3 linked regions of the Anolis sagrei genome follow. The protein of the gene in region 1 binds, or shares a complex with, the protein of each later gene. Links are inferred from orthologs where the notes say so. Each region holds a gene or a part of one and is shown on either strand. Other genes may lie near its edges.

Region 1 (7,575 bases):
ACTGGATGGCCCATGAGGTCTCTTCCAACTCCATGATTCTATGATTTTAAATGTGGCACTGGTTCTAGCACTCTAAGCTTGCCTACTGCTGTTGTTCCAGTTCACCTGCCACACAACATGGTGTGGGAATTTGAAGTGTGTAGTTTAGTGATGCCCAAGGGTTCCTACTGCCAACCTAGCAGTTCGAAAACATGTAAATGTGAGTAGATCAATAGGTACCAATTTGGCGGGACGGTAACAGGGCTTCATGCAGTCATGCTAGCCACATGACCTTGGAGGCATCTATGGACAACACCGGCTCTTTGGCTTAGAAATTGATATGAACACCACCCCCTAAAATCAGACACAACTAGACTTAATGTCAAGGGGAAACCTTTACCTTTATCTTTACCTAGCTGAGAAGCGAGGATCTCGCCATGGCAGTGAAAGTGGAATCATAGTACTCTCACAATGCAGCAGTGATGGGCATCTACACTGTAGCATTGATAGGTTTTGATACCACTTCACTGCCATAGCTCACTACTATGGAATCCTGGGATTTGAAGTTTCATGAGGCACCAAAACCTTGTCAAACTACATCTCTCGCGATTCAATAGCATTGAACCCTGACAGTGTCAGGCTTCATTCATTCTATAGCATGAATGAGCCCTTGGAAACTTTTCAGCTCTGCGGAAGATGCTGCGAAAACACTCCCATAGGTACTAGAAAAAGACTAATCCGGGGAAGGACACACTCCAAAGAAATCATAGCGGGTTTCCCCACTCCTTCAGGTTTGTATTTTGTTTATTTAGGAAAGGGCATCCTGGTCCATGTGCCAAACTGCATTCCCAGCTCCATTCTGGGCAGCTCTGAGCTCAACTTTACCTTCAGGCATATCCCTTCCCAGGTGCCAGCCAAATGGGACTCATGCTTTCCATTGAATCATAGACTTGGAAGAGACCTCATGTCCAACCCACTGCCAAGAAGCAAGAAAATCGCAGCCCCAAACGGTGGCCATCCAGCCTCCAAAGAAGGTGCCTCCACCCACTCTAGAGCAGAGAGTTCCACTGATGAACAGCTCGTATAGTTAGGAAGTTCTTCCTTATATTAAGGTGGAATCTCCTTTCCTGTAGTTTGAGGTGGAATCTCCTTTCCTGTAGTTTGCTCCACATCCTAGAGCCCTTCCACACAGCCCTATATCCCAGAATATCAAGGCAGAAAACCCCACAATATCTGCTTTGTGCTGGGTTATCTGTGGGTCCTTCCACACAGAATATCAAGGCAGAAAACCCCACAATATCTGCTTTGAATTGGGTTATCGGAGTTCACACTAAGATTATGTAGGATACAGGGCTGTGTGGAAGGGTCCATAGTCTCCAGGGCAGCAGAAAACAAGCCTCTCCCTATGACTTCCCCTCCTTCTGCCCCCATTCTGCAAAACTTGAGGCCACATCGCAACCCCAACCTCCATAAGCTAAAAGGATCTTTTGATCCAGGCGAAGGATCCCAACATTCTCTGCCTTTAAGGAGCATCTGCACTGTAGAATGAATCCCCTTTGACACCACTTTTAGCTGCCATGGCTCAGTGCGATGGACTCGTGAGCCTTGCAGTTTGGTACCTCTGGAGACGAACCGTGGCAGTGAAAAGTAGTGCCCAAGAGCATTCCTTCAACACATTGACACACCTCCCCAATAGACATCCTCCTTCAAATTGGGGCCTTTATTTAGTGTGAACTTGGGAGGAAAGTCAGTTCAGTTCAAAATATGACAAAGCAGTGAAGCAACCCTGGCCCCAAAGGCTATCATAGAATCATAGAGTTGGAAGAGACCTCATGGGCCATCCAGTCCAACCCCATTCTGCCAAGGAGCAGGAATATTGCATTCAAAGCACCCCCGACAGATGGCCATCCAGCATCTGTTTAAAAGCCTCCAAAGAAGGAGCCTCCACCACACTCCGGGGCAGAGAGTTCCACTGCTGAACAGCTCTCAAAGTCAGGAAGTTCTTCCTAATATTCAGGTGGAATCTCCTTTCTTGTAGTTTGAAGCCATAGCTCCGTGCCCTAGTCTCCAGAAAACAAGCTTGCTCCTTCTTCCCTCTCACATATTTATACATGGCTATCATGTCTCCTGTCACCATTCTCTTCTTCAGGCTAAACATGCCCAGCTCTTTAAGCCGCTCCTCATTGAGCTTGTTCTCTTGATCATTTTAGTTGCCCTCCTGCTTAGCCAGAGGTTTGCATCTATTCCAGGCATGGGCCAACTTGGGCCTTCCCTCCAAGTGTTTTGGACTCCAACTCCCACCATTCCTAATAGTTTCAGGTCCTTTTCTTTTTTCCCTCAGCCGCTTAAGGAAAGGGCCTGAGGCTGTTAGGATTGGTGGGAGTTGGAGTCCAAAACACCTGGAGGACTAAAGTTTGCCCCTGCCTGCTTGTGGAATGAATGTAGTTTGACCCCACGGCTCAAGGAATCCTGGAAGTTGCAGCTTAGTGAGGTAAGCATCAATCTTTGGCAGAGAAGAATCCTATAGCTTTGAGCCTTGGCAGGAAAGTGGTGTCAAACTGCATCCATTCAGAGGGCTTCCCACCTTCCTGGGCAGCCTCTCCGTCAAAAGGTGGCTGTAAAATCCAGCAAGGATCTCCTCCAAAAGAAAAGCTTGCGGCATCTCTTTCTTACCTGCCCGCGGAACTCCTTGGCTCATGACCATGAGCAGAGGAAGGATGAGCCGCGCGTAATCCATCCCCATTGTGTTTCTTTTTCTCTTTTTCCCACGAGTGTAAAGTATCCTTTTGGTAAAAGCGGGTCGGCTCCTGAGTCTTGACTGGCTGCCTTGCTTGCCGGAGCGCTTCTGCCTGGCCCGCCTTCCCCGCGGCTGCTTTTATAGAGCGCCGGGTAAACAGCCCCGGGCTTTGATTTGATCCGGAGACAATGTTATTGTGCGATTAGTCACCGAGAGGCAACGTGCGGGGCGAGATAAGGGGAGGCCGGGGAGGAAATCGCGCGAGTTTCTCTGAGCGGGGCAGACGCCGTCTGGCCAAGGCAAAGGCAAAGGGGCAGGCAAGCAGGCAGGCAGGCAAGCAGGCTCGCACAGGAAAACAAACACCCGGCGCAGACCTGGCCAGGGGGAAAAAGCAAGGGCAGCCCCCGGGCCCAGGAGGGGCGCCTCCAAGGCTCGGCCGGCAGGGGGCGCGCTGGCGCACTCGCTCTCGAGTCATTCTGCATAGGTTCTCCACTGCAAAAGGAGTCAATGCAGTCCCACACCTCTTGATCTGACCTGGCTCAAGGCCATGCAGTTTGGTGAGGCACCAGCACTCCAGGGCAGAGGAAGCTCAAGGACTTGCAAAATTACAGGTCTCTGGATTCTATTGCATTGAACGCTGGCAGTTAATTAAATTAAATCTATATAAATAAAAATGTAATGTCCCGTGACCAACAGAAAATACTGGAAGGGTTTGGTGGGCAGTGTCCATTGGTTTTGGAGTTGTAGTTCACCTACACCCAGAGATCACTGTGGACTCAAACAATGATGGATCTGGACCAAACTCTGCACGAATACTCAATATGCCCAAATGTGAACACTGGTGCAGTTTGGGGGAAATAGAATCTTGACATTTGGGCGTAGTAGTTGCTGAGATTTATAGTTCACCTACAATCACAGAGCATTCTGAACCCCACCAACGATAGAATTGGGCCAAACCTCCCACACAGAACCTACATGACCACCAGAGTGGGCCACACCAACACATGTGGATCCAAACAATGAGTAACATAATTAAAAATCCAATGGACGAATTGCTGCCAAATTTGGGCACAAGACCCTACTAACCCAAGGAGTGACCATCACTCAAAAAATTGATTTTGTCACTTGGGAGTTGTGGTTAATGGGATTTATAGTTCACCCACATTCAAAGAGCATTCTCAAGTCTCCTGGGAGTTGTAGTTTGGTGAGGCACCAGCACTCCATGGCAGAGGAGGCTCAAGGATTTGCAAAACTACAGATCTCAGGATTCTATTGCATTGAGCAGTTAACGTTTGTCCAACTGCATTCATTCTGCAGTAGAGAGGCCCCCTTACTACTATTATGTTTATTTATACAGTAAATAAACCTGGTGGTGCATTGGATTAAACTGCTGAGCTTCTGAACTTGCTGATTGAAAGGTCGGTGGTTTGAATCGGGGGAGCGGGGGGAGCTCCTGCCAACCTAGCAGTTCGAAAACATGCAAATGTGAGTAGATCAATGTACACCCTTAGCGATCACAGAGAGAAGGCCTTGCCTGGCAGAGAGGGCAACCCTGGTGCATCATAAATAGACACAGTACTGTATTTTTACACGCTCTGTAATCTTCTCGGCCAAAGAGTGCTGGTGGCTTACCAAACTATAACTCTCATGATTCCACAGCATTGAGCCATGGCAGCTCAAGTGGTGTCAAACTGCATTCATTCTACTGTGGAGATAAGGAGCCCCTGCCGGCAGGACTGTTGACCACAGGGAGCATGGTGAGTTCCCATCTGTCAGCTCCAGTTTCTGATACAGGGACATGAGAGAAGCCTCCCACAACACCCCCTAGGCAATGTCCTTGCAGATGGCCAATTCTCTCACACCAGAAGCGACTTTCTCAAGTTGCTCCTGACATGGAAAAAATGCACATTTTCAAGGCATTTAGCAGTCTCTGCCAAAGAGTGCTGGTGTCTCAGCAAACTACAAATCCCACGCTTCCATAGCATTGACCCAATGCAGTTCAAAGTTGTCATCTGCAAAGATGTTTCCCACCCAAAGGACACTATTATTTGTCAGGGTGCTTCAACACTTTAGAATGAATTCAGTTTGACTACACTATAACCACCATAGCTCAATGCTGTAGAAACCTGGGAGTTATAGTTTCACCTTCCCAGCCAAAGAGTGCTAGTGCTTGCCAAACTACCAATCTCAGGATTCCATAATGTTGAACCATCACAGCTCAAGTGGTGACTGCATTTATTCTGTAGTGCCGAGGCACCACAGTCTATTAGGTATTATTGAGAGGTGTCAAGTTGTTTCCGACTTATGTTGACCTTAAGCAGAAGAAATCACAGTTTCCTGAGGCTGAGAAAGTGCGACTTGCCCAAGGTTATCCAATGGCTTTCTATGGCTGAGTGGGGATTCAAATCCCAGTCTCTAGAATTGGAGTCCAGTGCTCAAACCACGAACACAATGTTGGCTCTCTGCTAAGATGTTTACTTCAACATTTCTGACAATTCTTTCATTCTTGTGTTCCCACTATTTCTTTGCAGGTGGTAGATCATAATCTTGCACAGATTCCAGAGTATCATTGCAGTATTTCACAACATTTCTTATATCCAGTCTGTGTGATCTTGTGCATAAACTGATAAGGTGGGCGATAGCTTCATTACTGATTACCCCATGCATTTTACATTTCATTCTTCTCCCTCGCTCTGCTGGGTCAGTGTTCTTTTTCATGTTAGTCACTGTGAGTGCCTCTACACTGTAAAATGAATGCAGTTTGACACTTTGACTGCCCTGGCTGAATGCGATAGAGTTGTCGTTTTACCAAATCTTTAGCCCTCTCTGTCAAAGAATTCTTGCTTCTCAGCATCTCCAACCAGGCTCAAACCCAGAACCTCAATCAATGGCTGGTACCAAAAGAGAGACTCCCCCCTGGGCACACAGAAAACTGTGCGGCTTGGAAGGCGCCACGAGATGCACCACGAGATGCAGAGCCGACCTCAAGAAATGGGGCTACAAAGTGGAATCCACGACATGCAAGTGTGGAGAACAGCAAACCACTGACCACCTGCTGCAATGCAACCTGAGCCCTGCTACATGCACAATGGCAACACCAGAGGCACTCCAAATGGCCAGATACTGGTCAAAGGACATTGAATCAACTATCAAGCTTGCAAACATTGTGTTTTGTCTGTCTGTGTGTTTGTTTGTTTTGTTAAAAATGTAATGCAAATGTCTGGTTGCTCCTGACACGTTAAATAAATAAAAGCATCTCCAACTATGATTCCATGGTATTGAGCCTTAATAATTCTACAGCACAGAAGAACTGGCTGACTCTGAAAGTATGCAAGTCCTATCCGACGTTTAAAATCACTTTCCACTCACCTTCTGGTTTTACTTTATGAAACTTCCCATTTTCTACTAATACAAGGGGGAATCATGTGGGGAACAGAGCTTGGAAAAATTATTCCTTTGGACTGCAACTTCTGGAGGTCCTGGAACAACATTGAGACAATGATGGGATACTCTGAGTCTGGATTAGATCTACACTGCGCTATATCACAGAATCTGATCCTAGACTATCTGCTTTGAACTGGATTATATGAGTCCACACTCAGATAATCTGGAATAAACAGATAATCTGAGATCAGATCCTGGGATACAGGGAAATGAAGATCCAGCCTGAGATAACTTTCACTGACAGCCAACGTAGTATGGAGCTGAACGGTTCCATCAAGTAGATGAACAGTTCAATCTTGGCTGCATAGGTCATGCCTATAAAGGTAAAGGTTTCCCCTTCATTTAGTATAGTCGTGTCTGACTCTGGAGGGTGGTGCTCATCTCCATTTCTAAGCCGAAGAGTTGGCATTGTCAATAGACACCTCTTAGGTCATGTGGCCAGCATGACTGCAAGGAGCGCTATTACCTTCCCGCAGAAGCGGTACCTATTGATCTACTCATATTTACATGTTTTTGAACTGCTAGGTTAGCAGAAGTTTGGCTAACAGTGGGAGCTCACCCCATTCCCTGGATTTGAACCACCGACCTTTCGGTCAGCAAGTTCAGCAGCTCAGTGGTTTAACCCGCTGTGCCACCAGGGGGCCTCTGTAGCTCTGTGGATTTACAAGTCTGGTGTTTGGGATGAGAAATGTCCTAATGGTAACAACATGACAATGGAAAGAGATGCCTCAGAATGTGGTGGATTGTTTTCACTGGAGGTATTTAAGAAGTGGTTCAGCAGTTACCAAGACAGTTGCAATGGAAAGATTTCTGTGCTGAGCAGCCAGTTGGATTAGATCAGTGCTTGTTTGGAAATGCAGCGGAATAAATAATTATGAAATAGGAAGAATGAACATGGAATGGCTAGACGATGCTGCTGGATAATGTTTTAACTGGTGATGATATGTTTTTAATGGTTTTATATGGCTTTTATAATATTAGGTTGAATGCTTTAACTGTATTTTTATGAATTAAAATGCCAATTACAAAATGCCAATTACAAAATTGGCATTAAATTCCGCCAATTTTGTAAGCCGCCTTGAGTTGCTGTAAGGCTGAGAAAGGCGGGCTACAAATGCTGCAAATAAATAAATAAATAATTCTCAACATTTACTTTCCTAGAATGGCAGAATGACATCTCCCAGAATCCCACATTTTTGGCTGTGTTAGGGAGAGTTTTTGGAAAGTGACATATCAAAACACATGGGGAGCCACATATTGAGGACCACTTGTATATCTCCCTCATTCCCTCAATAATTCTCTGAATTTGCCAAAGCTAAATGGTCTCGACAGAGCAGGATTTTAAAGTCTCCTAAACTTAAGTACCCTGGAATGTCCATGAGGTCTGATCTACATATATAGCAAAAAGAGAAATT
Region 2 (7,662 bases), on another chromosome or scaffold:
GCCTTCCTTTTCAAAGAAAACAGGGTAAATTCTGCCATTAAGTCATTAAGAATTAGATGATTCTAAATTGATAGTCTCTTGACTGTTCAGCAACTCTATGGAAAGCATATGGCTGGGTCTTTCTATTCGGCGGCAGTCAATTGTTCAGGGTTTTAGTCTGAAATCTTAAAGGTGTTGCAAAGGGAGCTTAAACCCATCTCCCAAATAGCTTTTGCATTTTGTACAGCACTTTTAAAATCTGGATTAGACCCCAGAGCAGATTCACTGCCCTAATGACCTTGAACACCTCAGCTGACACTACCGGTTGAACATCCCTGACCTGAAATTCTTTTGAATTTTGAAATATTTCTAGATACATAAGTGTGCTGTAGTGGTTTCAGTATTGGACAAGACTCAGGAGAATAGGGTTCAAATCCCCATTTGGCCATGAAAATCCACCCAACAACCTTGGGCAAGCCACAGTCTCTTAGGGTGCATCTACACCAGGTATGGGCAAAGCCAGGCCCAGGAACCAGATGCGCCCCTTGGGCTCTTTTCTCAGGCTCTCCTCTCTTTCACCATCCTATCCTTCCTTCCTTTTTTCCCCTTCTGCCTTCCCTCCCTCCGTTCCTTATCGCTCCCTCTCGCTCTCTTCCTTCCCTTGCACCCTTTCATCCTTCCTTCCGGACCCCCCGGTGGCACAGTGGGTTAAACCCCTGTGCCGGCAGGACTGAAGACCAACAGGTCACAGGTTTGAATCCGGGGAGAGGCGGATGAGCTCCCTCTATCAGCTCCAGCTCCTCATGCGGGGACATGAGAGAAGCTTCCCACAAGGATGATAAAAACGTCAAATCATCCGGGCGTCCCCTGGGCAACATCCTTGCAGATGGCCAATTCTCTCATACCAGGAGCAACTTGCAGTCCTGACACGACCAAAAAAAAAAAAAAACTTCCTTCCCTCTTCCCTCACTCCTTTCCTCTCTCTCTCTCTCTTTCCTTCCTTCCTTCCTTCCTTCCTTCCTTCCTTCCTTCTTTCCTTCTCTCCATTGCCTTCCATCCTCTTTCCCTTCTTTTTCCTTCCTCCTTCCCTCCCTAACTCCCTTCCTTATCTCTCCCTCTTCCTTCCCTTGCACCCTTTCATCCTTCTTTCCCTCTTCCCTCACTCCTTTCCCCTCTCTCTTTCTCCTTCCTTCCTTCCTTCCTTCTTTCCTTCTCTCCATTGCCTTCCATCCTTTCCACCTGGAAACTAATTTCCTCACTGTGGGAGAACATGTAGATCAAGAATAGAGCTCCACAGCTACCTATGGACCCAACTCCAAAACATTACACTTGGAGGTCCATCATCCTTGGAGCTCCTGGTGGTGCAGTGGGTTAAACTCTTGTGCTGGCAGGACTGAAGACCAAGAGGTCGCAGGTTCAAATCTGAGGAGAGCGCAGATGAGCTCCTTTCTGTCATCTCCGGCTTCCCATGCAGGGACATGAGGGAAGTCTCCCACAGGATGATAAAACATCCGGGCGTCCCCTGGGCAATGTTCTTGCAGACAACCAATTTTCTCACACCAGAAGTGACTTGCAGTTTCTCAAGTCGCTCATGACACACACAAAAAAAAACCTTGCTCTACAAGGGATCACCAAAATAAAGTTCATGTGGCCCTTTTGGAGCATTTCAGGTAAGGGATGCTCAATTTGTACCTTAGAATCATAGAATTGGAAGAGACCTCATGAGCCATCCAGTCCAAACCCCTGCAAAGAAGCAGGAAAATTGCATTCAAAGCACTCTCGACAGATGGAGCCTCTGTTTAAAAGTCTCCAAAGAAGGAGCCACCACCACATTCCGGGGCAGAGAGTTCCACTGCTGAACATCAATCACAGTCAGAAAGTTGTTCCTAATGTTCAGATGGAATCTCCTTTCTTGTAGTTTGAAACTTCCACGTCCTAGTCTCCAGGGCAGCAGAAAACAAGCTTGCTCCCTCGTCCCTATGACTTCCTCTCACATATTTATACATGGCTATCATGTCTCCCCTCAGCCTTCTCTTCTGCAGGCTAAACATGCCCATCTCTTTAAGCAGCTCCTCATAGGGCTTGATCTCCAGACCCTTGATCATTTTAGTCACCCTCCTCTGGACACATTCCAGCTTGTCAATATCTCTCTTCAATTGTGGTGCCCAGAATTGGACACAATATTCCAGGTGTGGTCTAACCAAGGCAGAATAGAGGCTTGCTGTGTTCATACCTCTCAGGGCTCTTCCAGACAGGCTCTTTATCCCAGGATCTGATCCCAATTTTTTTTGTTTATCCCAGATTATTCTGGCAGTGTGGACTCATATATTCCAGTTTAAAGCAGAAAACCTGGGATCTGGGTCCTGTCTGGAAGGGCCCTCAACTGCAGGGAAGAAATAATGGAAGGAGGCTGTTGGAAAGGGTTCACCATCTCCTCTCCTCCTATTGTAGCCTCCCTGGGCCTGCTTTTGCCTTGAATCAGCATCTGCTGCCATTTCCTCCCACTTCTTGACCTTCCCAGTTCTCAGAAGGACTTTCAAACAAAGCAAAGAACTTTAGATGGCACAGAAGAGAGGGACTGTTCCTCACCCCCCCTCCCAATCCGTTCTCCTTTCACACAAGACCAAGATACACACATCTATTTCAAAATCGCCGCCACTTTCAGAAAGATCAGCCACTTTCCCCCTGCAGTCTCCCTGGCAGCATCTCCCAAAGAGCCTGATACCTTCCTCCCTTCCTTCTGTGGTCCAAACACAAAGAGACCAACCCTTCCAGGAGACTCACAAAAGGGGGTATTTTTTTATGAGACCCTACCGTATGAGGAGGGATTTGTTTCCCCAGCTGGACGTGCAAGTTTGGGGAGGAAGGAGCTCCTGCCTGCGTCTCTTTCGGAGGAGTTGTGCTCGACTTCTGCCTGGATGGCTGCTCTCTCCTCCTCCTCTGCCAGTGGAGAGAGCCTCTCCCCATCTCCCCTCCCCAATTCCAAAGAGGGGGGAAGCCCTCTCCAGCCCAAACCGAGAGGCTGCCAACGTCCCGTCCGAGAAGAAGGAGCAACCCACCCCCAGACGGCCTCTGCTCTGCAAAAAAGGGGAGGCAAAGTGCTTTAACCAGTTCCTGCCCAGGATTCCTTGGAAAGGCTCTGTGCAGAGCCCTCCATGCAAGCAGGAGGCCCATCCCCTTGGTGTTATAGTTTGAGAGTTGGATTACAGGTACACAATGTATGGGGAGACCACATATTAACTCATGAAAACTTTTCATTTGTATATATATTTTAAACTATATGATTTATAAGATTTTTTTTTCATGTCAGGAGCGACTTGAAAAATTGCAAGTTGCTTCTGGTGTAAGCGAATTGGCAGTTTGCAAGGACATTGCCCAGGAGATGTTTTAATGTTTTACCATCCTTGTGGGAAGCTTCTCTCATGTCCCTGCATGGGAAGCTGAGGCTGACAACCGGGAGCAAACCCTGTCTCACAGATTTGGACCGCCAACCTTCAGGTCTTCAGGTCAGCAACTCAGCTGGCACAAGACAGTTGGACTACAGGTGCAAAATGTATGGAGGGACAACATATTATCTCATGAAAACTTTTCATATATATATATATATATATATATATATATATATGATTTATAAGTGGTTCCCTAAGCTTGGCCCCATGTAAGCTGCCCCGAGTCCCTTCAGGGAGATAGAGGCGGAGTAGAAAAATAAAGTTCTTCTTCTTCTTTTTTTGTGTCAGGAGTGACTTGAGAAACTGCAAGTCGTTTCTGGTGTGAGAGAATTGGCCATCTGCAAGGATGTTGCCCAGGGGAAGCCCAGATGTGGAAGGCTTCTCTCGTGTCCCTGCATGAGAATCTGGAGCTGACAGATGGGAGCTCACCCCGCTCCCTGGATTCGATAAGATTTTTGTTGTTTATTCATTCAGTCACTTCTGACTCTTCGTGACCTCATGTACCAGCCCAGGCCAGAGCTTCCTGTCGGCCGTGGCCACCCCCAGTTCCTTCAAGGTCAAGCCAGTCCCTTCAAGTATACCATCCACCCATCTTGCCCTTGGTTGGCCCCTCTCCCTTTTTCCTTCCATTTTAGAATAGTTAATAAAACAGAAATAGATGTTTTATGTATTGTCGAATGCTTTCATGGCCAGAATCACTTTCAGCTACCAGAATGGTATCATCTGCATATCTAAGGTTGTTAATGTTTCTTCCAGTAAATTTTATCCCAGCCTTGCATTCATCAAGCCCTGCATGTTGCATGATGTGTTCTGCATACAAGTTGAATAGGTAGGATGAGAGTCCTGCATACTCCTTTTCCAATCTCAAACAAGTCTGTGGTTCTGTGGTTTGTTCTTACTGTTGCCATTTGGTTGTTATACAGATTCCTCAGGAGAGAGACAAGGTGACTGCCTTACCAGTAGGCAAAGTAGGACAGATGTCTATAGCCTTCATAGGAGGTGGAAAATGTGCCTCTCTGTGTGTGGTTCTTTATCATGCCAAATTTTAGCTTTGCTGTGGGATCAAGTAGCATTTGCTGCTTTGCCCTCAGACTGCAAAACCTCTTGGTGCGGACTGACTTCCAGTGTTTTCTTGCTCCATGCAGAGAGCTGAGCATGAGAAGCACCACAGCATGGTCTGGGGAATGCATTATCATGGCCCCAAATAAATATTGAGTTGTTAAAAGAAGAACCAGTGTGGTACAGTGGTTTAGGCATTTGACTAGGACCCTGGCTGGAGGTGTACCTGCACTGTAGAATTAACACAGTTTGACACCACTTTAACTGCCATGGCTCAATACTATGGAATCCTGGGAGTTGTAGTTTGGGGCGGTCCAAACATTTTTTGGCAGAGAAGGTTAATAGATACTTTGTAAAACTGTAACTCCTATGGTTGGGACTTCAATTCCCTCTTAGTCACAGAAACTTATTGGGAGACATCAGGCAAGTCATATTTTCTCAGAAGAAGGCAACAGCAAACCTCCTCTGAATAAATCTTACAGAGAAAACTGTTGGATTAGATGTAGATTTCCAAAATTGCTTTTGGGGAAAGCTTGAATCCCTTGGCTCACTTTGAGACTAGTTTCAGCAAAGTAAGACAAATAGATCATATGTGAAGTTAGATAGCTATAATTTTAATAGTTACTTTGAGATTTACACTTAGAAAAAAATATACATAGATTTTCAAAGCCTTGACACAGTAAAGAAAAGTTTGAAGTATGGAGTTCAGGAGAGATGACAGTCACCATTGAGGGAGGAGGAATGGGGGGGGGGGGGGTTACGTGGTCCCTGGAATTTTTCTAGATGCATGGTCTGGTTGCTTAGATACGTGAACGCGTTGATGACAACATATTTCAGTTGGTTATTGAGCAAATGGGGAAAGTTCTAGAGAAACAGTTTTTATATGATAAGGGCATATATTTACATTGCCTAAATCACAATTGCTCTAAATAGGAAATGAGAAAGGGAGGCATAGAAAGAGTGATTCATTAAGCAGTATTTTTCATCATAAATCAGAAATGACATAGCATATCCTTTGCTCCTGCACTCCTACAACCGTGGCCAGTGGATTTCCTGACCTCTCCTGTGGTCTGGGAGTGGACCATGATTCTGTGGTCACTTTGGGTAGAAACTCTAGCATAGAACATATCCCAGGAGTCTGAGATGTTTGGGCCACTACTGTCAAGCTCTTCAAGAGCTACAATTTCCCAAACAATTTGGAACTTGGGAAACCCTGTACATAGCATGTCTGTCTATCTATCTATCTATCTATCTATCTATCTATCTATCTATCTATCTATCTAAAAGAAATAGCACCTTGTGGATGAAGTTGATTACTTAATGAGCCCCTTATTTAGTTTTGTACCTTGGTGGGTTAATGCAGTCAGTTTCATATACATACAAAATATTTTCCCAGGTTCTCATTCTCTCTCTCTTTCTCTCTTTCTCCGTGTGTATCTATGTATCGTATATGAGGAGAGACCTATTCTTCTGTTGCACTGTTTAAGAGATGAGGCAGACCACAAACTATTCAAAACTCATTCTGTTATTGGATGCAGTTGTTAAAGAAATGAGGGGGGAAGGCATTTCCCCATCTATACAATCTTTTAAAGTTTTCCAACAATAAAAAAGGGCCTGGATGGAATAGCATCAAGAAGAAGCAGGGTTACTGTTCAGGGTCACACCTCCCAGAATCCCCAGTCAATGGGACCATCTTTTAAAACTGTATTTCCGTTAGTACTTATGTGGAAGTTTCATACACATTATCTCTAAACTGCTTCTATGCATATAGGGTTTCTTGAAATGTGAAAGCATGCTGTTCTGAGGGAGGCAGTAGGCAAGATTGGTCCTGTGGAAGAGCATCTGATGACCTTTGGGGAAACAGTTATAGGGAAGGGCAGAGAGAAAAAGGAACCACAACCAGAGCCAACTGCACTGTTATACTGTTGCTCCATTCTCTTTCCCTTGCTTCAACTCCGTTTTTGTTGGCAGATCTCGCCTTATATGTTGGCTTAGATTTCCAAGTCAATTCCATGTGGTGAATAGTTTCCTTCATGACATGTTTACATTTGAGTGAGATGGGAGTGTTTGATGTCTTTATTGGGCCTGCTCCTTTTATTGAAAGTGTTATCTGCTTGCTAAATTACTTAGATTGACCTTATCTAGCCTGTCACTGTCCAGATTTATTTGACAACACAAATTATCTCTAGACACTATGACCCATGCCAAGTCATCCTTCCCCAACTTGGCATTCCCCAGATGTGTCAGATTACCTTAACACCAATAGTTCAAAATATCTGAAGAATACCAGATTAGGTAAGGTTGATTTAGAGTTTAGCGTCCATGTGGTTGGAGGATCTGGGTGCTGCATTCCAAAAACAAGTTTTCTGAATGCTGGTCTGTATTGAACAACAACAGATACAGCGGAATAATTGTTCCGGGAAATCCCTTGTCCACTCTTGCAAAGTTTATTTTTCTCAGGAAAGCTAGTTTGGTATCAAATCAAGAAGTTTTGATCCCCCACCCCCTCACCCCTATTTCTTCATGCCAGCAGCCTGTTGTAGACATATCACAATAATAGTAATGGTAAGACTTGGATCTTTTTCACACATGTTATTTATTTCTGAGAACACAGTATTTCTTACTCATAAATATTTTATGTTAATTAAATATATCTGTTCTTTTTGAAAGTGCTTTGTGACATATGTAAACTTTTACCATAATATAGAAATCCCTTTGAAGTCTGGGAGAGGATTGGCTTACTACATGATACAAAAACTTTATTTTGGTTTTGGAATTATTACAGGGATTCTTTCCTTGTACAAAGGAAACAAGTAAAATAAAGATACATTCCTGTTTCCCACTCTTTTAGGATTGTGCACAGAAAATACTGGTTTGTTTTGGTGTCTGAATCTTTAATTCACATTTGGACAGGAGGCTTTTCCACTTCAGAGTTACAAACTGGCATAGTGTTTGTCTCATAACTGAAGCAGCACCATATTGAATTCTCCAAAACCTCATATGCATTGTTCACTTAGTATAATGAGGGCAATGTCTCAATTGTTTGGGAAGAATTTGAGGAAAGCATGGTAGCCTGTTTTTATGGAATGACTCATGCCAAATATTTTGATGCAAAAGCACATTTAAAGGCTGTAAAGCTTTTTTGGGAATCCCTTCCAATTGTTTTATGGATAAT
Region 3 (6,922 bases), on another chromosome or scaffold:
GGTGGTCCTTGGGGGTCTCTTCCAACTCTAGGATTCAATTTCCCGGGTGGACAGAAAAGCTTTGGAAGGGAATAAGCAAAAGCCTCAAATCTGCTTTGTGTCTCCTTGTGGAGAGAAAAAGATAGACCTAATACTAATACTGCTAATAATAACAATACTCCTGACCTCATAATATTTATAATATAATATATTATAGTTATATATAATATATATTTGTATATTATATAAATATATAAATGTATATATTATATAAATATAATATAAATGTATTTTTATCTCTCTCTCTCTCTCTCTCTATATATAATGTAATGTTAGTTTGTGGGATTAACATAACTCAAAAACCACTGGGTGGATTGACACCAAATTTGGACACAATACACCACTCAGGCTAAGGAGTGGCCATCCCTCATAAAAAACACAAAAACACAGCAGAAGAAACTTAAAAAGCCAACTTAAAAAACTTAAAAAGCCAAAAAACAAAAATTACATTACAATGCATGCGCAAAACCACACACACACATACACACATATATATATGCAAACACACATACACATTTACACAAATACATTGCACACACATATATACACACATAACACTCATATGCAGACTGGGCCACAGCAATGTGTGGCAGGGGATGGTTAGTGTGTGTGTGTGTGTGTGTGTATGTGTATATAATTGTTTGTGTGATTAACATAACTCAAAAACCACTGGGTGAATTGACACCAAATTTGGACACAAGACACCTATCGGGCCAACAAGTAACCATCACTCATAAAAACACTGAAAAACACAACAGAGGGGACTTAAAAAGCAAAAATAAAAATACATTTACAACGTATGTGCAAAACCACATACACACAAAACATATATACACAGACTGGGCCACAGCAATGCATGGCAGGGGACAGCTAGTGTGTATGTATGTGTGTGTGTTTGCCATACTTGTACCCCGCTCTTCTCTACCCCGACAGTGGGACTCAAGGCAGCTTACAATGGCCCAACGTTATGCCTCAACACAATCACTTAAACATTTCAAAAATTGCCACATATTAAACAGAGTTAAAACAGATTTAAAAAGTTAAAAACGTAGAAACATGCCATACAAGTTCATGGTCTGAGTCCATTATATTATAAATATTATAATATAAATGTATATATAATACAAATATTATATTTATATAGAATATATATTTATATAGAATAAAAGTATATATAATATAAATATTATAATATACATTTATATTATATATAAATATATTTATATATAATATAATATATTTATATATAATATTCATATTATTTATAAATAAATAATAATAAACTACTCTGAGAAATCCAAATTCAGACTGACAGAGTTTTGGAGCACATTACTCCTGACCTCACGATCATGTAAAAAAAAAAAAAGCTATATGGATCTTTGATGTTGCAATCCCAGATGACAGCAGAATTGTTGAGAAAAGGTTACACGATATGAGGATTGAAAGATCGAACTGCAAAGACTCTGGCACAAGCCAGTCAAGGTGGACCCAGTGGTGATGGGCACACTGACTGCAGTGCCTAAAGACCTTGGCCTGCTCTTAGAAACAATTGGAGCTGACAAAATTGCCATCTGTCAGCTGCAAAAGGCTACTCTACTCAGATCTGCACGCCTTATTCGCTGATACATCATACAGTCCTAGACACTTGGGATGTGTCTGACATGTGAGCAAATACAAAAGCCTGCTTATCTTGTTTGCTGTGTACTAATCTTGTTGTGTATCAAATAATAAACCAATATCTCATTTGGGCAATAATACCCCTATTACTTTTTAAAGTACATAAATTAAAGTACTTTAAATCCTATGGCTTTTGTAATATTTTTGTTAGAGTTATCTCATAGAATCATAGATTGATAGAGTTGGAAGAGACCACATGGGCCATCTTGTCCAACCATCTGCCATGCAAGAAAAGCCCAATCAAAGCATCCCCAACAGATGGTTGTTCAGCCTCTGTTTAAAAGCCCCGAAGGCAGAGAGTTCCACTGTTGAAAAGCTTTTCCAGTTAGGAAGTTCTTCCTAATGTTCAGGTTGAATCTCCTTTCCTGTGATTTGAACCCATTGCTCCGAGTCCTTCCACACAGTCTTATAACCCAGAATAGATGTCAGATAATCCACAATAGTTATCTGAGTCTACACTGCCATATCAATATCAGTTCAATGAGGATGGTATCCAGACTTTTGATTATTTAGTTGCCCTTAAAATGTTTCCATCTTTAAAACAAGGAACAAAGTTTCCCTATTGGAACAATTTTGCCTTTTTAAAAATATGCTCATTTGTTCAGTCCATCTCGGAGGGCATAAGGTGCTGGGACTTTACATTTCTTGAGGCTTGCTTAGGCAAGGAATATTCAGAGTTAGTTTAGTCAGTTTCTTTCCCCTATTCAAACAACAAGGATAGAAAAATCAGTTCCTGTATTCAGTAACATGAGTATAGTATTTGTACTAACTCAAAAACCATGTGAGATTTAGAAAAACCCTTCTTATTCAATTTGGAACAACCAGAGGAGCATCAATAACAATGCAAGTTTTTTTCTTGCATTGTTTATATTAATTAATGAAGTTAATTAATTCAGACTTGGCCATTCCATCAAAAAAAAAGAAGCCCAAGGCTTTCATACACCTGTTGAGGCAAACTGTCTTTGACCTGCTGCGTCTTGAGTTCTTCCAGTGTTTAGCTCTTAGGAATTATTTTCCCCCTCAATCTTTTTCATTAGGCAGTCAGTCAAATCCCACTGATTTCATTAACTCTGCTTCCAAGCAAGAGCTCATTGAAACGGATGGCTTAAAGAAAATGAAATAAAATGAGCATTACATTCAAACAAGGCACATTCTGCTTTTCTCCGTAAAACCACATGTTCTTCTTTAATGGGTTTAATTGCTCTTTACCTTGAAAATACTCCAAGCAGCGAAAGCTCTTTCTTGTCTTAGACAGCCAGACTGCACACTCCTTGGCAGGAACCTTCACTTCACGGGGGTTTTGTAGCAGCTGGGAAGCAGAGATGAGTGAGCTGAAAACTGTTATGTGCTTAATTTCTAGCAAATGGGGACAGCCTCCCTGTTTCTTAAAACATGCACGCACATCTATCCCATCAATCATTGTCAAACCCCACCCACCCCTTCCAAGAGAGCAACAACCTTGCCCCTCTGTCAGTTCTGAAGGCCTGGAGAGCGTCAACAGAAAATGTCTTGCTGGTGGAGGCATGCAACAGAGGCAGTGTGCATAGATGGGCAACACAAGTAGGGAAAGCATGTGTTTTTTCCTTCAAAAATATACAAATGTTTGAGAGCCAATATGTACAGTAGTTAGAATAACCCTGTCCTCAACCAGCTGCCATTCATATGCGTCAATTGCAGTGCCCATCTTCTCAGAAGATTATTATTATTTATTTCATGTTGAAAGCATTGCATATATAAGTATAAAACTGATAAAAATAGAAGGAGCACAAGCGGCTAAATAATCTTTGATCAAAACCGGGCAAGAGACCACATTGCCTGGAGCTTTAAACAATTCTTCCTCTGTGCTTGAGGCAGGGCATTGTGGACAAGCATACAGAGGAGTGGTGGTTCTCATGTAGCTTTTCCTTGTTGAGTCTACTGGGAGGAGGCTGATAGCCATGCAGTGGATGGCTTTCACAGTGTTCAACCTTATTTCTCTCACAATTAGCAGCAACTTCCCATTGCACATCCAGGGGCAATGCCAGCTAACGTGTAGAGTCTATGAACAGGTGTAGGTTTGAGACATCCTGTGATAATTCTGCATGTTTCGTTCAGTGCTATGTTCACCTGCTTCGTGTGAACAATCTTGTGCCAAACAGGGCAGGCATACTCAGCAGTTGAGTAAGACAAGGCCAGGGCTGATGTTCTTATTAATTTTGGGTCATCTCAGGAGATGCTGTTCACCAGATTTTAGACAAGGATGGGTTGTAGGTCAGAATAGAACTACTGGGTGAATGCGGAGCCTGAGATTTGGATCTTCACATTCCTCCCTTGAGACCATTGCCCCAGTCAGTTTGGCTAGTTGTGACGTTATCTGAAAGATTCCGAGAGCTGTAGTCCAAAATATGACTTTTCTGAACTGTATATCTCTAATTTTATTTTTTGTACATTTCTAGATGATTTTTAATAATTCTCAAACATACTGTTCCTCAGCTCTATAGATAGATCTTCATATCCTTGGGTTCTGAATCCACAGATTTACCCAACCATGGCTTTGTTTAACCTAAAAAGCAAACCTTGATGTTGCCGTATATGCTGACGTGTAGGCATATTCTTCTGTAGCATCCTAACATTTCACAGATCCTCAGACTCTCCCTGAAACTTGTTTGTATTGTTTGGTGTTTTTTAAAATAAAGATGCCATTTTATTATGCCATTGCATATAATGAAATGTAAGCATCTACAGATTTTAATATCTATCGGGGAGGGTCCTGGAACCAAACCCCAAAGGATATTCATATTCTCCTGTATTTTTAAAAAGTTCATCTTCTTTCCTCAAATACCTACAAATTGAGATTTCAGCACCATTGTGAAAAGGTAGCAAATGTGACTCAAGGTGCTCTGGGAGACAATCCAGATTGACAAAATATTAAATGAATCAGCATAGATAGTTCACAATAGCAGAATGACAACACCCCCCCCCCCCCCCACAAAAAACCATGTGGAACACCATGTAATGAAATCTCCTTGATTTCCAGATTCATGGGCTGAATCTGAATTTCTGATGGTCTAGAACTCCCATTGGTAGCACCTTGTAGATGGTAAAACAAGGATAATTCACATTCCCATAAGTTCAGGATCGATACACTTGAGTTTTAACAAATTTGTATATACAACAGAAAGTGAAGTTGCCATATGGAGTAATATGCAACTATATGGTTAATGCACAGCTTGGCCCTTAGTCTTGGATTCTAGCTGGGAGTGAGTTCATCAGAGAATCAAAGGTATTTGTACAAAAAGCAAATCACTGTGGGAGAGCATTTCTTGCTTGGTTAAAGGAATTCAGTTTAAAAATCCCCATTTCACTCATCATTAGCAGGGCTTAGTTTCCAGGGTTCCGGTAGCACAGGATGTGCATGGGAACAAAGTAGTTGCGATAAGTGATTCATTTTCCCCCAGTTATATTGCACCTGCTCATTATCAGCTCACAGGAAATCTGTTAATTGCAGCCACAGCATGTGTGGCTAAACCCTGAACAATGACAAGACCTCCGTAGTGCAAGGCTCCTGTCCCATACATCGTCTGTCAGCCGCATGCTTTACCTACTGTGGGATTGAAACACCACTGTTCCCTGGTTTCCTACAGACATTGTCAGCATGGTATGGGAAACACTTATACAGAACTATCTCTGGTAATCAAGGGCCTCTTTTGGGGGATGTATAGTTTTTAATGAAATACAGAATATTTACAACATTCAAATAACCAAATCCATTTAAAAAAGTTATATTGATGCTATAATTATTTACATTCACTGAACATTTTTCATGATTTTTACAGTAAGCAAATCCATCTTGCCCTTCCCACATATACAACTGATGATTCATCCTGAAAATGCATTTATTAATTGATTAAAATATTTGTACCCTGCCCTAGGTCAGGTGATCTTAGTGCTGCAGATAAGCCACTATTTATGACCCAGCTTAGGCACTACTCTAATATGTGTTGGCATCAGGACCGATTGGCTCAGTGTGAAGGTGTTGCCAGATGTGCTGCACTTGTTTAATGTCAGCAGGCCACAAGGCTAGAAGCCAAGGGGAGGGGACTGTGGGAAAAACCAGTGAATGCAGTCACTTGGGCCTACTGGGCCATTTGGAAGAAGACAGAGAGCACTTGTTTATTGAGTCAACATAGTGTGAGGTTTTGACATCAGAAGTGCCCATGCAACTGGAACGAAAGATGGGACCAATCTCTCCACTTTCTTCCTGGTTGTGCTGATTTCAAAATGGGACACCAGAGATGACCAGGACCTCGCATAGAGCTCTGTGAGCAGTGGCATGACCCATCCCCCTTTCCCTCCACTGATGATCATAAGGAAAAGTTGATGGTGGTGGATCATTGGACGTGTCCAAATTATCCAGCCATCCCAATGGCCCTGAAACCTCTGGATACTTTAGAGCATTGTTTCTCAAATTCTACTCCTCTTAGTATTTTGGACTTCAGCTCCCAGAAATCCCATCCAGCTTACCAGCTGTTAGGACTGGTTTCCAGCAGTCTCTGAAGCATCCTCATGACTTACATGAGGATATCCCAGGTGGCGCAATGGGCTAAACCCTTGTGCCAGCAGGATTACTGACAAAAAGGTCTGCAGTTTGAATCCAGGGAGCGGGATGAACTCCTGTCTGTCAGCTCCAGCTTCTTTCAGGGACATGAGAGCAGCCTTCCATAGGATGGTAAAACATCTGGGCGTCCCCTGGGTAATGTCCTTGCAGATAGTCAATTTTCTCACACTTGAAGTGACTTGCAGTTTCTCAAGTCACTCTTAACAATAATAAAAAAAATGACTGACACAGGGCAAAGCTGGTTTAACCTAGAAAAACTCCAGATTAATCTAGCATCTTTCTATGTCCTTCTTCCATCAATAAGCAATGGTTGCGGCAAAAAAGCTTTTAATTTGCTTTAGTTTCTTTCTTTCTTTCTTTCTTTCTTTCTTTCTTTCTTTCTTTCTTTCTTTTAAAATTGCTTTTATTTGGTTAGTGTCTTAAATTAACCTGCTCCATGTTATAATTGTATTTTTTAAATTGAAAAAATTGATTTGATTGTGATATCTTGTTTAAGAAGAAATGGTGCAAATATAACATCCCTGAGATATGTAGCCTTTTTCATTTTATGCAGCGTTTTGTAAATCTTCCATAATTTACTTGTAGCAAGGGAAAGTTTCAGTAAATCTT

Evidence for each region.
Region 2: the proteins of EDN1 (region 1) and EDNRA are in contact, whole or in part, in a cryo-EM structure (PDB 8HCQ), measured with the Homo sapiens proteins. The link is inferred for Anolis sagrei from reciprocal best matches to the Homo sapiens genes EDN1 and EDNRA. Residues at the interface, in NP_001403492.1 of Homo sapiens: Cys53, Ser54, Leu58, Asp60, Lys61, Glu62, Cys63, Val64, Tyr65, Phe66, Cys67, His68, Leu69, Asp70, Ile71, Ile72, Trp73; in NP_001948.1 of Homo sapiens: Tyr68, Gln72, Thr73, Lys74, Tyr129, Asp133, Ile136, Asn137, Lys140, Leu141, Gly144, Arg145, Trp146, Gln165, Lys166, Val169, Glu220, Phe224, Val227, Phe229, Tyr231, His236, Lys237, Thr238, Cys239, Met240, Leu241, Asn242, Gln252, Lys255.
Region 3: the proteins of EDN1 (region 1) and EDNRB are in contact, whole or in part, in a cryo-EM structure (PDB 8XWP), measured with the Homo sapiens proteins. The link is inferred for Anolis sagrei from reciprocal best matches to the Homo sapiens genes EDN1 and EDNRB. Residues at the interface, in NP_001403492.1 of Homo sapiens: Cys53, Ser54, Cys55, Ser56, Ser57, Leu58, Glu62, Cys63, Val64, Tyr65, Phe66, Cys67, His68, Leu69, Asp70, Ile71, Ile72, Trp73; in NP_000106.1 of Homo sapiens: Pro88, Pro89, Ile94, Glu95, Ile157, Asn158, Lys161, Glu165, Asp166, Trp167, Val177, Pro178, Gln181, Lys182, Val185, Phe240, Ile243, Met245, Tyr247, Leu252, Ile254, Leu256, Leu257, His258, Pro259, Lys270, Lys273, Leu277, Trp336, Leu339.

The regions. Positions count from the first base shown.
Region 1 is NC_090024.1:82,602,520-82,610,094, forward strand, and holds the start of EDN1 (endothelin-1), read right to left. Parts: upstream 3,004-7,575; 5' UTR 2,723-3,003; coding exon 2,653-2,722; intron 1-2,652. UniProt on the Homo sapiens protein: Endothelins are endothelium-derived vasoconstrictor peptides. Probable ligand for G-protein coupled receptors EDNRA and EDNRB which activates PTK2B, BCAR1, BCAR3 and, GTPases RAP1 and RHOA cascade in glomerular mesangial cells.
Region 2 is NC_090025.1:48,320,381-48,328,042, reverse strand, and holds the start of EDNRA (endothelin-1 receptor), read right to left. Parts: upstream 3,050-7,662; 5' UTR 2,794-3,049; intron 1-2,793. UniProt on the Homo sapiens protein: Receptor for endothelin-1. Mediates its action by association with G proteins that activate a phosphatidylinositol-calcium second messenger system. The rank order of binding affinities for ET-A is: ET1 > ET2 >> ET3.
Region 3 is NC_090023.1:116,296,450-116,303,371, forward strand, and holds the start of EDNRB (endothelin receptor type B), read right to left. Parts: upstream 3,070-6,922; 5' UTR 2,926-3,069; intron 1-2,925. UniProt on the Homo sapiens protein: Non-specific receptor for endothelin 1, 2, and 3. Mediates its action by association with G proteins that activate a phosphatidylinositol-calcium second messenger system.